Stegostoma tigrinum: one gene and its partner. The main gene of each other region encodes a partner of the protein of the gene in region 2 in a complex. Links are inferred from orthologs where the notes say so. Each region holds a gene or a part of one and is shown on either strand. Other genes may lie near its edges.

Region 1 (7,232 bases), on a different chromosome or scaffold from region 2:
CTGTGAACTTGCCCCCCTCACCTTAAACGCATGTATTAGACGTTTCAACCCTATCTACGTATCTCATCATTTTATAGACTTCTATCAAGTCTCCGCGCAGCCTCCACCGCTCCAGAGAAAACAACCTGAGTTTTTCCAGGATCTCCTTATAGTTCACACCCTCTAACCCAGGCAGAATCCTGGTAAACCCCTTCTGCACTCTCTCCCCAAAGCCCCCACATCCTTCCTGTAACGTGGCGAACAGAATTGAACACAATTCTCTAAGTGCGGCCGAACCAAAGTCTTTCCAAGCAGCAACATGACGTCCTGACTCTTGTACTCAATTCCCCGACCAATAAAAGTGAGCATGCCATACGCCTTCTTTACCACCCTATCTACTAGGGCGGCCACTTTCAGGGAGCTACCGACTTGAACCCCAAGATCCTTCTGTACATCAATGCTGTTCAGGGTTAACTATATACTTTACTTTAACATTTGGTCTCCCAAAGTGCAGCACCTCACACTTGCCCCCGTTAAACTCCATCTGCCATTTTCCCACCCTTACCTGCAACTGAGCTACATCCTGCTGTATCCTTTGACAAACTTCTGCACTATCCTGAACTCCTCCGAATTTTGTATCATCTGCAAACTTACTAACTCACCCATCTACATTTTCATCTACTTCATTTATATCACGAACAGCAGAGGTCCCAGTACGAATCCCTGCAGAACACCGCTAGTCAATGGATCTTCAGCTTGAGAAACACCCTTCCACCAATACCCTCGGTCTTCTACGGTCAAGCCAAATCTGAATCCATGTGGCCATGTGGGTCCCATTAATTTTAATCTTCTGGATGAGCCAACCATGAGGGACCTTGACGAAAGCCTGACTGAAATCCATGCAGCTGACATCAACAGCTCCACCCTCATTGATCACCTTTGGGCCCTCCTCAAAAAATTCAATCAAGTTAGTTCGACATGATCTGCCCTTTCAAAGCCACACTGACTCTCTATAACAAGGCCATGCTTTTTCAAATGCGTGTAAATCCCATCCTAAAGAATACATTCTTATAGCTTCCCAACCACTGACCGAAACGTCAGCTTTTGTGCTCCTAAGATGCTGCTTGGCCTGCTGTGTTCATCCAGCTCCACACCTTGTTATCTGGGATTCTCCAGCATCTGCAGTTCCCATTCTCACTGATGAGAAACTCACTGGGCTATAGGTTCCTGGATCATCCCCATTTCCCTTCTTGAACAGAAAAACAACATTAGCTACTCTCCAATCCTCTGAGACTTCTCCATTAGCTAGCGAGGATAAAGAGATCTTGCAATCTACTTTTATATTACTAGCTCGCTTACCCTCATATTCTCCCGTCTTGTTACTTTATTTTAGCTTATCCTCTACTGCTGTTTGAAGGCTTCTCAATCCTCTGGCCTTCCACCAATCTTCACCACATTATATGCCTTGTCTTTTGCTCCTGAAGTGGTTGTGTCGTAGGCCCTCAGTTCCATTGCAATCAGCCTGGTAGAACATGATCCAGTTTTTCAGATTCACAAGTTTGTCAGACATGCTGGTATTTGGAAACTCTATCAAGTTACTAGGAACATTGACTGAGAACAGAATTTCAGCAGCAAGACATGTAGCTTTCCTTCCTGAATCTGGAGGCTGCCAACGGAATTCTAAGTCCAGAAAGGATTGCTAGACAATACATATTCCCCCCCACCGCCCCACCTTTAGTCTTTTCAAAACCAGGTTTTCCCAGTAATTAAGGCAATAAACCCATATTTTATCTCCTTAAAAGCTTTGCTCGGCTGTTTTCTCCAAAGTTATTTGACTTTGCTGCAAGCGGTGGTTGACTTACAACACACATTATTGTTAACTTCACTTCGCAGTGAAACCCTGTTTAACCCAGAAAATGTCCAAACTACACTATACTTCGCAATTTTTCCACACAATCCTTGAATATTCTGTCTAGATTCTCAATGGTTTACATCTCGTTGCACAAAAACATCCAAAAAGGTTTAAAACAACATTCCCATTTTTGTTTCAACTTCATCTGAGTATCAATATAAAGTTTTTTTTGAAAAAGAGCTGCATTAATTGCTATAAACTTATTAAGTTGGGATAAATTCCTATTGCTGCTCTGAGCCTGTTAAACCTGAGAGGTGATGATGATTGAAGACCACATGAAAGGAGGATGGGGGAGAACAGTCACATGGTGGTGGGTGATGTCTCGCAAGTGAGTTTAGGAACATGACTTATCCCCACTGGATAGTCAACATCTACTGAAGAAAGCAGAAGGGAGGCTGGGGTTGGAGGAAGCAGCTGTGCACAGCAGTGAATAGATCAAAGCACAGGCCAGACCCCAACCTGTGTGCAGTGTATCTAAGAGATATGATGCGTGCCTGCAGAGAGACACACAGACCTGTACTCCCTCAATGGCCTTCCTTAAATAAGGAGAGCAGAACTGTGCTTGATACTCCAGGAGCAGGTGGTACATGGGGGCTCTGACCTGAACTCATCATTAGGTGGTGACTGGGATTGGGACCACAAGAGTGGGAGTCAGCCATTCAGCACCTCGAACCTGCTCCATCATTCAGCGTGAATGATTTTCTGCCTTGGTGCTATTTTCCCCACACCATTCCTTGATAACCTTATCTTGAACAAGCTCAAAGACAGAGCCTCCGCTGCCCTCTGAGGCAGAGAATTCCAAAGAGTCCCCAGCCTCTGAATGAAGAAATCCTTAATCCAAAATGGCCAATCTTTTATCCTGAGTCTGTGTGTCTCCTGGTTCAAGAAGACCTAGGGGAACGTCCTTCCTACGTACCCCCTGGCGAGCCCTGTCACAATTTTAGTATCCTTCGATAAGGTCACCTTTCACTCTTCTGAACTCCAGATAATCCCAGCCTGGTCTCCTCAATCTCTTCTCGTGAGACAATCTCATCATCCCAGGGATGAGGAACCTCTGCCACACTCTCTCAATGGCCTTCCTTAAATATGGTGAGTAGAACCGTACTTGATACTCCAGGAGCAGACCAACGGAAGCTTTATGCAAATGCAGCAAGATACTCCCTGCTCCAGTCCTAACACAGTTATGATTGACATACATTGCCCTCCCAAATTGGTCACCATACATTGATGCCTGTTGTTACTGACTCAGGGTAGAGGTTACCCATCTAGATTGGACAGAAGGTCACACTTTGGATATTGCCATGACTACAGAGTTGGGAATTAGGAATGGGCCACTCAGCCCTTCTAGCCCATGTCGCCACAACATGGCAGACAATGTCATTTCGGGGACATAAATCCTTGGCTTGCTCTTCCCAACCTCCTTGCACTTAAGAGGCATTCTCCAATGGATTTTGATGTTGAAGTTCTCTCTCTGCACCCACTCACCAATCTCCCTCCATGGTCCACCAACCACCATCGTGATCCACCCATTCCATGGGCCTGGAACTAGGACACACCCACAAAGTGGGTGTGACCACAGGAAGACACACCCTCGTGTGGGCGTGATCACAGGAGAGCACCCACAATTGGGCGGGATCACAGATGGCACACCCTCAGTTGGGCGGGGCGAGGAGAACACCTACGTGTGGGTGGGACCGCGAGATGACACGTCCTTGAATGGGCGGGGCTGCAACGTGACACCCCTTCACACGGCTGGGCGGGGCGGAGTGGGCGCGTCCGAGACGGCTGGAGCATAAGTGGGCGGTGCTTTAACATGACACCGCCAACAGGTGGGCGTGGCGGAGTGGTGACACGCCCACGGGTGGGCGAGGCTGTGGCAACGCTGGAGCGTGGGACACGCCCACAGGTTTAATCGCCCTCCCACAAACCGACAGTGATTGGAAAGATAATAAAATGTGAGGCTGGATGAACACAGCAGGCCAAGCAGCATCTCAGGAGCACAAAAGCTGACGTTTCGGGCCTAGACCCTTCATCAGAGTGATTGGAAAGGGCGAGGCTTTGAGACCCGGTGGGCGTGTCTGAAATCCGAACACGCCCACCAGACGGGCGGGGACGGATTCACCATCGGGCAGCGTCGTGAGATGACGTAGGCTTCGCGTGGCGTTGACGGCGCGGGCCTCGCGAGATCCTTCCCGCCCCTCCGACGGCCCCGTATTTAAGGGGGAGCGCGCAGGCGCGGCGGCTCCAGTAGTGGCGGTTGGCGGCGGCGGGTGGGTGTGTTGTAGAGGGGGCAGGGCCGGCTTTTGCTATGTTCAGCTGGATGGGGAAGGACGCGCGGCGCAAGAAGGAGCCCGAGCTCTTCCAGACGGTGAGCGACGGCCTCAAGCGGCTGTACTCACAGAAGCTGCTGCCGCTGGAGGAGAGCTACCGGTTCCATGACTTCCACTCGCCCGCCCTGGAGGAGGCCGACTTCGACAACAAGCCCATGGTGCTGCTGGTCGGCCAGTACTCGACCGGCAAGACCACCTTCATCCGGCACCTGATCGAGCAGGACTTCCCCGGCATGAGGATCGGGCCCGAGCCCACCACCGACTCCTTCATCGCCGTCATGCACGGCGAGCAGGACGGGGTGGTGCCCGGTAACGCGCTGGTCGTCGACCCCAAGAAGCCCTTTAGGAAACTCAACGCCTTCGGCAACGCCTTCCTCAACAGGTAACGGCCCTCAGCGGCCCCCCCCCCCCCCCCCGGGTCCCTGTCCAGTCCCTTATCACCCCCCGGGGTCCCTGTCCAATCCCTTATCCCCACACCACCCCCCCCCCCCCCCGGGGTCCCTGTCCAGTCCCTTTCTCTTCTCTTCCCCCCCCCCCATCTGCCCTCCCCCTCAATCCTCCAAAGCCTCTTCCCCTCCCCCACAGCCACTTTCCTCCCCCTTCCTCCTCCTCCTCGCTCCCCCTCTCTCTTCCCCCCCTCCTCCTCGCTCCCCCTCTCTCTTCCCCCCCTCCTCCTCGCTCCCCCTCTCTCTTCCCCCCCTCCTCCTCGCTCCCCCTCTCTCTTCCCCCCCTCCTCCTCGCTCCCCCTCTCTCTTCCCCCCCTCCTCCTCGCTCCCCCTCTCTCTTCCCCCCCTCCTCCTCGCTCCCCCTCTCTTCCCCCCGCTCCCCCTCGCTCCCCCTCTCTCTTCCCCCCCGCTCCTCCTCGCTCCCCCTCGCTCCCCCTCTCTCTTCCCCCCCGCTCCTCCTCGCTCCCCCTCGCTCCCCCTCTCTCTTCCCCCCCGCTCCTCCTCGCTCCCCCTCTCTCTTCCCCCCCGCTCCTCCTCGCTCCCCCTCTCTCTTCCCCCCCCGCTCCTCCTCGCTCCCCCCCGCTCCTCCTCGCTCCCCCCCGCTCCTCCTCGCTCCCCCCCGCTCCTCCTCGCTCCTCCTCGCTCCCCCCCGCTCCCCCCCGCTCCCCCCCGCTCCCCCCCGCTCCCCCCCGCTCCCCCCCGCTCCCCCCCGCTCCCCCCCGCTCCCCCCCGCTCCCCCCCGCTCCCCCCCGCTCCTCCTCGCTCCCCCCCGCTCCTCCTCGCTCCCCCCCGCTCCTCCTCGCTCCCCCCCGCTCCTCCTCGCTCCCCCCCGCTCCTCCTCGCTCCCCCCCGCTCCTCCTCGCTCCCCCCCGCTCCTCCTCGCTCCCCCTCTCTCTTCCCCCCCGCTCCTCCTCGCTCCCCCTCTCTCTTCCCCCCCCCGCTCCTCCTCGCTCCCCCCCGCTCCTCCTCGCTCCCCCCCGCTCCTCCTCGCTCCCCCCCGCTCCTCCTCGCTCCCCCCCGCTCCTCCTCGCTCCCCCCCGCTCCCCCTCGCTCCCCCCCCCGCTCCTCCTCGCTCCCCCCCCGCTCCTCCTCGCTCCCCCCCGCTCCTCCTCGCTCCCCCCCGCTCCTCCTCGCTCCCCCCCGCTCCTCCTCGCTCCCCCCCGCTCCTCCTCGCTCCTCCTCGCTCCCCCCCGCTCCTCCTCGCTCCTCCTCGCTCCTCCTCGCTCCTCCTCGCTCCTCCTCGCTCCCCCTCGCTCCCCCTCGCTCCCCCTCGCTCCCCCTCGCTCCCCCTCGCTCCCCCTCGCTCCCCCTCGCTCCCCCTCGCTCCCCCCCGCTCCCCCCGCTCCCCCCCGCTCCCCCCCGCTCCCCCCCGCTCCCCCCCGCTCCCCCCCGCTCCCCCCCGCTCCCCCCCGCTCCCCCCCGCTCCCCCCCGCTCCCCCCCGCTCCCCCCCGCTCCCCCCCCGCTCCCCCCCGCTCCCCCCCGCTCCCCCCCGCTCCCCCCCGCTCCCCCCCGCTCCCCCCCGCTCCCCCTCGCTCCCCCTCTCTCTTCCCCCCCGCTCCTCCTCGCTCCCCCTCTCTCTTCCCCCCCGCTCCTCCTCGCTCCCCCTCTCTCTTCCCCCCCGCTCCTCCTCGCTCCCCCTCTCTCTTCCCCCCCCGCTCCTCCTCGCTCCCCCTCTCTTCCCCCCCCGCTCCTCCTCGCTCCCCCTCTCTTCCCCCCCCGCTCCTCCTCGCTCCCCCTCTCTTCCCCCCCGCTCCTCCTCGCTCCCCCTCTCTCTTCCCCCCCGCTCCTCCTCGCTCCCCCTCTCTCTTCCCCCCCGCTCCTCCTCGCTCCCCCTCTCTCTTCCCCCCCGCTCCTCCTCGCTCCCCCTCTCTCTTCCCCCCCGCTCCTCCTCGCTCCCCCTCTCTCTTCCCCCCCGCTCCTCCTCGCTCCCCCTCTCTCTTCCCCCCCGCTCCTCCTCGCTCCCCCTCTCTCTTCCCCCCCGCTCCTCCTCGCTCCCCCTCTCTCTTCCCCCCCGCTCCTCCTCGCTCCCCCTCTCTCTTCCCCCCCGCTCCTCCTCGCTCCCCCTCTCTCTTCCCCCCGCTCCTCCTCGCTCCCCCTCTCTCTTCCCCCCGCTCCTCCTCGCTCCCCCTCTCTCTTCCCCCCGCTCCTCCTCGCTCCCCCTTTCTCTTCCCCCCCGCTCCTCCTCGCTCCCCCTTTCTCTTCCCCCCCGCTCCTCCTCGCTCCCCCTTTCTCTTCCCCCCCGCTCCTCCTCGCTCCCCCTTTCTCTTCCCCCCCGCTCCTCCTCGCTCCCCCTCTCTCTTCCCCCCCCGCTCCTCCTCGCTCCCCCTCTCTCTTCCCCCCCGCTCCTCCTCGCTCCCCCTCTCTCTTCCCCCCCGCTCCTCCTCGCTCCCCCTCTCTCTTCCCCCCCGCTCCTCCTCGCTCCCCCTCTCTCTTCCCCCCCCGCTCCTCCTCGCTCCCCCTCTCTCTTCCCCCCCGCTCCTCCTCGCTCCCCCTCTCTCTTCCCCCCCGCTCCTCCTCGCTCCCCCTCTCTCTTCCCCCCCCGCTCCTCCTCGCTCCCCCTCTCT
Region 2 (7,845 bases):
ACATGTGTAACAAAGGTTCAAGAACAGCTTTTTCCCTGCTGTTATTAGACTGCTGAATGGACCTCTCCAATTAAAAAACTAATGCTGATTCTGCTTTGTACACCTCCTGTGCAGCTGTAACCTTGTGTGCCTTGCTCTGTCTAAACACCCTACAACCACATACAGGTTGTATGCCATGATCTCGGGTACTGTGACAACAATAAATCAAATCAAAATCAAAGTAAACAAGATCTTGAATGGTGTCAATGAGGTGGATGTAGAAAAGTTTACTTTTGTGCATGAGTCCTGAATTATGGTGTACTGCTATAAAATTAAGGTCATCCTCTTAGGACAGATGAGGGGAAATTTACTCTCTGAAAGTTGAGAAACTTTGGAACTATCTGCCTCAGAAGGCAGTGGGAGGACATCACTGAATATTTTTAAGGCAGAAGTGGGATGGGATTCTTATTAGACTGGAAAATCAAGGTTTGTCAGGGGTAAATTGAGATTTGGAACAGAAACAGATTAGCCATGATCTTACTGAATGATGGAGTAGGCTCGAAAGCCCAACAGCTACGCTGTTCCTATTTTATATGTTCTTATTCCAGGCATAATGTAATGACTCCTTTTATCATAGAATCCCTACAGTTCAGAAAGAGGCCATTCATCCAGCTCACCGACTCCCACAGCTACCTAGGATACACCTCCGACCGCCCGCCCACCCACCCCCCTGCAAAAATTCCTTCGCCTCTGCCGCATCTGCTCCCAGGATGAGGCATTCCACTCCCGCACATCCCAGATGGCCACGTTCTTCAAGGACCGCAACTCCTTGGCCCCCCCACCCCCAAAGAGAAGTCAAGAACGCCCTAAACTGTGTCTCCCGCATTTCCTGCAACACATAACTCACCCCGCCCCCGCAATAACCGCTCTAAAAGAATCCCCCTCATCCTCACATACCACCCCACCAATCTCTGGATACAATGCATTATCCTCAGACACTTCTGCATTCTACAATCCAACCCCACCAACCCCATCCCCACCCTTGTCTGCATTCCGGAGAGACAACTCTCTTCGTGACTCCCTTGTTCGCTCCAAACTCCCCTTCAACCCTACCACACCTGGCACCTTCCCCTGCAACCGCAGGAAGTGCTACACTTGCCCCCACACCACCTCCATCATCTCCAACCCAGGCCCAAAGATGACTTTCCACATCAAGCAGATGTTCACCTGCACATCTGCCAATGTAGTATACTGTATCCACTGTACACGGTGTGGCTTCCACTATGTTGGGGAAACCAAGCGGAGGCTTGGGGACCACTTTGCAGAACACCTCCGCTTGGTTCACAATGAACAACTGCACCTCCCAGTCGCAAACCATTTTAACTCCCCCTCCCATTCCTTCGATGACATGTCCATCCTGGGCCTCCTGCAATGGCACAATGATGCCACCCGAAGGTTGCAGGAACAGCAACCTATATTCCGCTTGGGAACCCTGCAGCCTGATGGTATCAATGTGGACTTCACAAGCTTCAAGATCTCCCCCTCCCCCACTACATCCCAAAACCAGCCCAGCTCATTCCCGCTTCCCTAACCTGTTCTTCCTCTCACCCATCCCCTCCTCCCACCTCAAGCTGCACCTCCATTTCTCACCTACCAACCTCATCCCACCTCCTTGACCTTTCCATCCTCCCTGGACTGACCTACCCCCTCCATACCTATACTCTCCACCTATCTTCTCCTCTATCCATCATCGGTCCGCCTCTCCCTCTCTCCGTATTTATTTCGGAATCCTCTTCCCATCCCCCTCTCCGATGAAGGGTCTAGGCCCGAAACATCAGCTTTTGTGCTCCCGAGATGCTGCTTGGCCTGCTGTGTTCATCCAGCTCCACACTTTGTTATCCTGGATTCTCCAGCATCTGCAGTTCCCATTAGCTCTGATCTCCATTCATCCCACTGCGTCTGCTGTGATCCCCCAAAGAACATCCCGCTAGATCCACCTTCCCGCTAGATCCACCTTCCCACCCCCATCCCTGTAACACCACATTTACCTTGTGGCTAATCCAGCTAGCCGGGACTCTATGGGGCAATTTAGCATGGCCAATCCACGTAACTGAAAAATTTACACTTCAGCAGTCAGTTATTCTGATCCCTGCTGTTCTGTGCTACTCTAGAAGCATGCCCTGGGCCAAGGAGAACGTGGCACGGGGTGAGACTGGGTGCTCACTTTGCCCAGCTCTGTCCAGGCCGGAGCAGTTCCAACAGGGACCAACAAGCCAGCTTACAGCCAGAAGAGATGAAGGAACAGTTCAGGGTCCCGAAGCCCCGTCTTTCTCACTCCACTCTCCATGCTGGGTGAAACACTGTACCGAGAACTCCCCTAGGGGATACTCTCCCTGACCAGGTACCCCATGGTCACTCAGGGCTGGGGTAGAGAGCCCTGTACTTCTTCACCTCAGGGCTGGGGCGGGGGAAGAGACCCTCCCTGCACGGCCTCCCCAGACACTCACATCAGCTCAGGGCGGTGCCGGTGGATGATGGCACAAAAGGCAAGCCCGTCCCTGAAGCTCGAGCTCATGTTCGTCACCTCGACCCCCGGGTATCCCAACACCTGTAGACGGGCCCATTCCTGCAGCGCTCGGGTCGCCATGGGAGCGGCTCCAGACACCCGCCACTTCCGCTCCTCGACACTCCTGTTCCGCCTACTGCGCCCCCTACAGACGCCCAGGGTACTGCAGCGCGACACAGCGCGCCCCCTCCGACCACCAGGGGGACTGCATCGGTCCGAGATAATGGGATCTGCAGACGCTGGAGAATCCAAGGTAACAGTGTGGGGCCAAGCAGTATCTTAGAGGAGCACAAAAGCTGACGTTTCGGGCCCTGCATCGATCCCTAAGGTCTGGGCCTGAAACGTCAGCTTTCCTGCTCCTCTGATGCTGCTTGGCCTGCTGTATTCATCCAGCTCTACACTTTGTTATCTCAGATTCTCCAACTCTTATCATCTCTGTTAATGCATCCCGACACAGCGCGCCTCCTAAGGCCACAAGGGGAACTGGATGGCTACACAGCGCGCCCACTCTGGTCAACAGGGGAATCGCACACCGACACGGCGCGCCTACTGCGGCCACCGGAAGGAAACTGCACACCGACACAGAGCGCCCACTATGGCCACCAGTGGAACTGCATAAAATCCAGAAAAAGTGGATGCTGTAAATCAGGAAGAAAAACAAAAATTGGTGGAAAAGCTCGGCAGGTGTGAGGGAGAAAACAGAGTTAACGTTTCAGGTCCGGTTACCCTTCCTCAGAACTTAGAGCTTACTAGACCTGAAACACTAACTCTGTTTTCTCCTTCAGATGCTGCCAGACATGCTGAGCTTTTACAGCAATATGTTTTGTTTCCTGATTTACAGCATCTGCAGTTCTTTAGTTTCTTACCTGCACTAATCCAACTGCATTATTACTGCCCTATTAGTCTACTCTCAATCATCTGTAAAGTGATGGATGGTGTCAACAACAGTGCTATCAAGCTGCACCAGCTCAGCAAAATCCTGCTCAGTGATGCCCAGTTTGGGTTGCTCCAGGGTCACGCGGTCCGTAACCCCGTGACAGCCAAAAGAGCTGAATTCCAGAGGTGATGTGAGTGACAGCCCTTGACCTCAAGGTCACATTTGATTGTGTGGTATTAAGAAACCCTAGCAAAACTGAAATCAGTATGTATGGGGGCAAGCTCTCCACTGATTAGAGACATACCTGGCACATGTGAAGATCATTGAGGTTGTTAGGGGTCAGTCATCTCAGCTCCAGGACACCTCTGCAGGAGTTCCTCAGGGTAGTGTTCCATGCCCCAACCATCTTCAGCTGCTTCACCAATGATCTTCCCTCCATCAAAAAGGTCAGAAGTGGGGATGTTTACCAATGTTCAAAACCATTTGACTCAGGTACTGAAGCAGTCCATATTCAAATGCGACAAGATCCAGGCTTGGGTTGAAAAGTGGCAAATATGATTTATGCCAAACAAATGACAATGACCATCTCCAGTAAGAAACAATCCAACTTCAACCCTTGACGTTCAATGGCATTACCATCACTGAAACCACCACTAGTCACATCCTGGGGGTTACTAAACTGAACTCAAACTTAACTGGAGTAGCCATGTAAAGATTTGTAACCACAAGAATGGGCTACAGGCTAGGAATACTGTCATGAGTAACTCCCTTCCTGACTCTCCAGATCTCATTCACTATCTACAAGAGAGGGTGGAATAGTTCCCACTTGCCTGGAAGAAAGTAACTCCTACCACATTCAAAAAGCTCAATACTATCCAGGAAAAATTGTTTCTTGATTGGCAGTTCATCCACAAGCATCCACTCCTCATTAGCAGCAGTACATACCATCTGCAAGTTGCACTGCAGAAATTCACCAACAGTCCCCAGATAACATCTTTCAAACCCACAATCACAACTGCCTGAAAGGGCAGTAGATGCATAGGAATGCCACCACCTGAAAGATCCCCATCTGAGCCACACAACCCTCCACTGGCTCCCTCTGCCTTCAACTTCTGAGCCAGTTCTGTATCCAAATGGGTGGTCCTCCCTGTATTCCATGTGATAACCTTGCTAACCAATCCACCATGAGGAACCGATGTGGAAGCTTTGGAAAAGGTGCAGAGGAGATTTACTAGGATGTTGCCTGGTATGGAGGGAAGATCTTATGAGGAAAGGTGGAGGGATTTGAGGCTGTTTTCGTTAGAGAGAAGAAGGTTGAGGGGTGATTTAATTGAGACATATAAAATAATCAGAGGGTTAGGTAGGGTGGATAGGGAGAGCTTTTTTCCTAGGATGGTGACAGCGAGCACGAGGGGGCATAGTTTTAAATTGAGGGGTGAAAGATATAGGACAGATGTAAGGGGTAGTTTCTTTACTCAGAGTAGCAATGGAATGGAACACTTTGCCTGCAACGGTAGTAGATTCGCCAACTTTAAGTACATTTAAGTCAGCATATGGACAAGCACATGGAATAGTTTAGGTTAGATGGGCTTCAGATCGGTATGACAGGTCGGCACAACATCAAGGGCCGAAGGGCCTGTACTGTGCTGTAATGTTCTAAGTCCATAGAGATTACATCCACCGCTCTGCATCGTCAATCCTATGTTACTTCTTCAAAAAAATCTCCATCAAGTTAGTGAGACCCAATTTCCCCCCTGTACAAAGCTATGCTGACTATCCCTAATCAGCCTTTGCCTTTCGAAATGCATTTAAATCTTGCCCTTCAGGATTACCTCCAACAACTTGCCCACCAATGTCAGGCTCACTAGTTTGTAGTTCCCTGGCTTTTCCTTACCACCTTTCTTAACTAGCAGCACCATGTTAGCCAACCTCCAGGCTTCCAGCACCTCACCTGTGGCTATCGATGATATAAATATCTCAGCAAGGGTCTCAGCAATCACTTCCCTAGGATCCCATAGATTTCTAGGGTGCACCTGACCAGGTCCCAGGGATCTATCCACCTTAACGTGTTTTAAGACATCCAGCAACCCTCCTCCGTAATATGAACATTTTTCAAGATGTCGCTATTTATTTCCCCATGTTCTCTCTCTTCCATATCCTTCCAGCTTCTTGTTTGAATAGGAATGTCGGAAAAAAAAGCAAATAAAAAGATTACAATAGGTAAGTGCTTACTATCTGGATTACCCTAGTGACAACAACTCCCAATTAAAAATAACAAACATGTTCCGTTGAAAAACATCGAAAGATTGATCTCCAAGAGTTCCTGTATTTATCAGCAAAGTGGTTTTGCTGATAATATTTTACTCATTACCATATCTACACCTCGCATAGTTGCTCAAAGTGAAATGTCAGATGTTTCTCACCCAACAAAAAGAAATGAAATTTAATGTTTGTGATAAGCTCATATGTAAACCTGGTGCAGATAACTTTAGGGACATCATGTGCATTTTTTTTTTAAAAAAAAGGACTAACACGTCATGCCAGAATTCAGAAAGCAAGAATTATCATTTTCTCACAGCTAATGCATTTGTTTTTAGACACAAACTTCTAGAAAATCAAGAGGAGCAAGCATATAGCAAAGCATTTTCCAAAGTAGCAACTTTCCACTACTTAAGTATCCAAATACAATTTAGCAATTACCCATCTTTCCTCTGTATCCTCAAATAACATAATACAGCAACAAGTAGTCATGGAAATATGCATGTCAAATTAATTTCAGAATCAGCTGTAAGAACAAAAGAGGTACAGCCGTCTCTGATGTGAGGAGTGGAATTACTTAGTGTTTTCTGAAAACATGTCTGTCTTTTATTCACATATAGTAGGTACTGCTGATGTTGGAGAATCTGAGATAACAAGGTGTAGAGTAGGATGAACACAGCAGGCCAAACAGCATCAGAGGAACAGGAAAGCTGACATTTCAGGTCTGGACCCTTCTTCAGAAAAGGGGGTGGGGAAGGGGATTCTGAAATAAATAGATTCTCCAGCATCAGCAGTTCCTACTGTCTCTGAATAGGTATTTAATATCCCAGGTTATAAGGCTTTTAGTAGAAACAAAGTGTGTGAAAAGGGAAGAGGTATTACAGCTTTGGGTGAAGATAGTATCATTGCCCTTGAATGAGATGCAATTCCAAAATCAGAATCTGTATAGTTAGAGGTGAGAAACAGGAAGGGAGCATTGACCTTGTTGTGTATTTATTATAGATCCTCAAATAGTGGGGAGGAAGTAGGAGAAAGCATTTGTAGGCAAATTATGGAAATTTGCAGGATGAATAGAGAGTTATGTTCGATGTTTTCAATTACCTCAGGGTAGACTGGGGAAAAGGTAGTATGAGGACCATGGAAGCAGAGAATTTCTTGCAATTGAAGCTTTCTAGAACAGTTCATCTCCCAGCCCTACTAGGGAAGGAAGCTATGCTGGATCTGGTCCTAGAAAATGAGGAAATCGCAGTGGAGAGCATCAGATTCAGCGAGCAATTAAATACGAAAACGATAAAAGTCAGTCAAGAGATTAATGCCCCAAGACTAGAAAAAGAACAAATTTTAGGGGTCTGAAAGTGGAACTGGAGCAAGTTGGTTGGAAATGCTTTTTGGTTGATGAAACAGTGGGTGAAAAATGGGAAAATTTCAAAAGAAATAATTGGGTGCAACTCAGGTGCATACCCATGAAAAATAAATACAAAGATATCCAAAGCTAGAGTACCTTGGATAACTAAAGGATATTGATGAGAAAAATAAGAAAGAAAAAGGCATATGAAAATAATAATAGCAACAGAAATCAGGAAGAGCATCTCAAATGCAAGAGAGAGGCATAGGCTGGAATAAAGAAGGCTAAAAGGAAGCACGAGGAAAGGATGGCAGGTTGCATTAAAACGTTCTACAAACACATTAAATGGGGAAAGATAATGAAGGATAAAGTGGGTTCCAAAAGTAACAAGCAGTGGCAATTACTCACTGACGCAAAGAAGTTGGCAGAGGTGCTAAGTTAATATTTTGCTTCTGTCTTTGCCGAATTAGAAAATGGTTACAATGGTTCAGTTGAAAATGTGAGCGTTGAGTAACTGAGCAGTATAGTGATAGATAAAGAAGGGATTCCAAAAAAGGCTGGCAGCACTCCAGGTAAAAGAGGTCACCAGGCCCAGATGGGATGCAAACTAGATTGCTGAGAGGATTAAGGGAGAAAAATTGCAGAGCTGTTGACAGAAATTTTCCAGATCTCTCTGAACAAAGGATTAATCCCAGAAGGCTGGAGGATTGCAAATGTAACATCATGTTTAAGAAAGGGGCAGAGGATAACCCAGGAAACTACACACCTGTCAGTTTGTCATTAATGGTTGGAAACCGATGGAGGCCGTAATACAGGATA

Evidence for each region.
Region 1: the proteins of micall1a (region 2) and EH domain-containing protein 1 are in contact, whole or in part, in an NMR structure (PDB 2KSP), measured with the Homo sapiens proteins. The link is inferred for Stegostoma tigrinum from reciprocal best matches to the Homo sapiens genes MICALL1 and EHD1. Residues at the interface, in NP_203744.1 of Homo sapiens: Lys422, Tyr424, Asn425, Pro426, Phe427, Glu428, Glu429; in NP_001269373.1 of Homo sapiens: Gly464, Ala467, Lys468, Met471, Asn478, Leu481, Gly482, Trp485, Lys486, Lys492, Asp493, Gly494.

What each region holds. Positions count from the first base shown.
Region 1 is NC_081395.1:7,014,561-7,021,792, forward strand, and holds the start of EH domain-containing protein 1, read left to right. Parts: upstream 1-4,151; 5' UTR 4,152-4,199; coding exon 4,200-4,603; intron 4,604-7,232. UniProt on the Homo sapiens protein: ATP- and membrane-binding protein that controls membrane reorganization/tubulation upon ATP hydrolysis. In vitro causes vesiculation of endocytic membranes. Acts in early endocytic membrane fusion and membrane trafficking of recycling endosomes.
Region 2 is NC_081391.1:1,643,061-1,650,905, reverse strand, and holds the start of micall1a (MICAL-like protein 1), read right to left. Parts: upstream 3,038-7,845; 5' UTR 2,627-3,037; coding exon 2,487-2,626; intron 1-2,486. UniProt on the Homo sapiens protein: Lipid-binding protein with higher affinity for phosphatidic acid, a lipid enriched in recycling endosome membranes. On endosome membranes, acts as a downstream effector of Rab proteins recruiting cytosolic proteins to regulate membrane tubulation.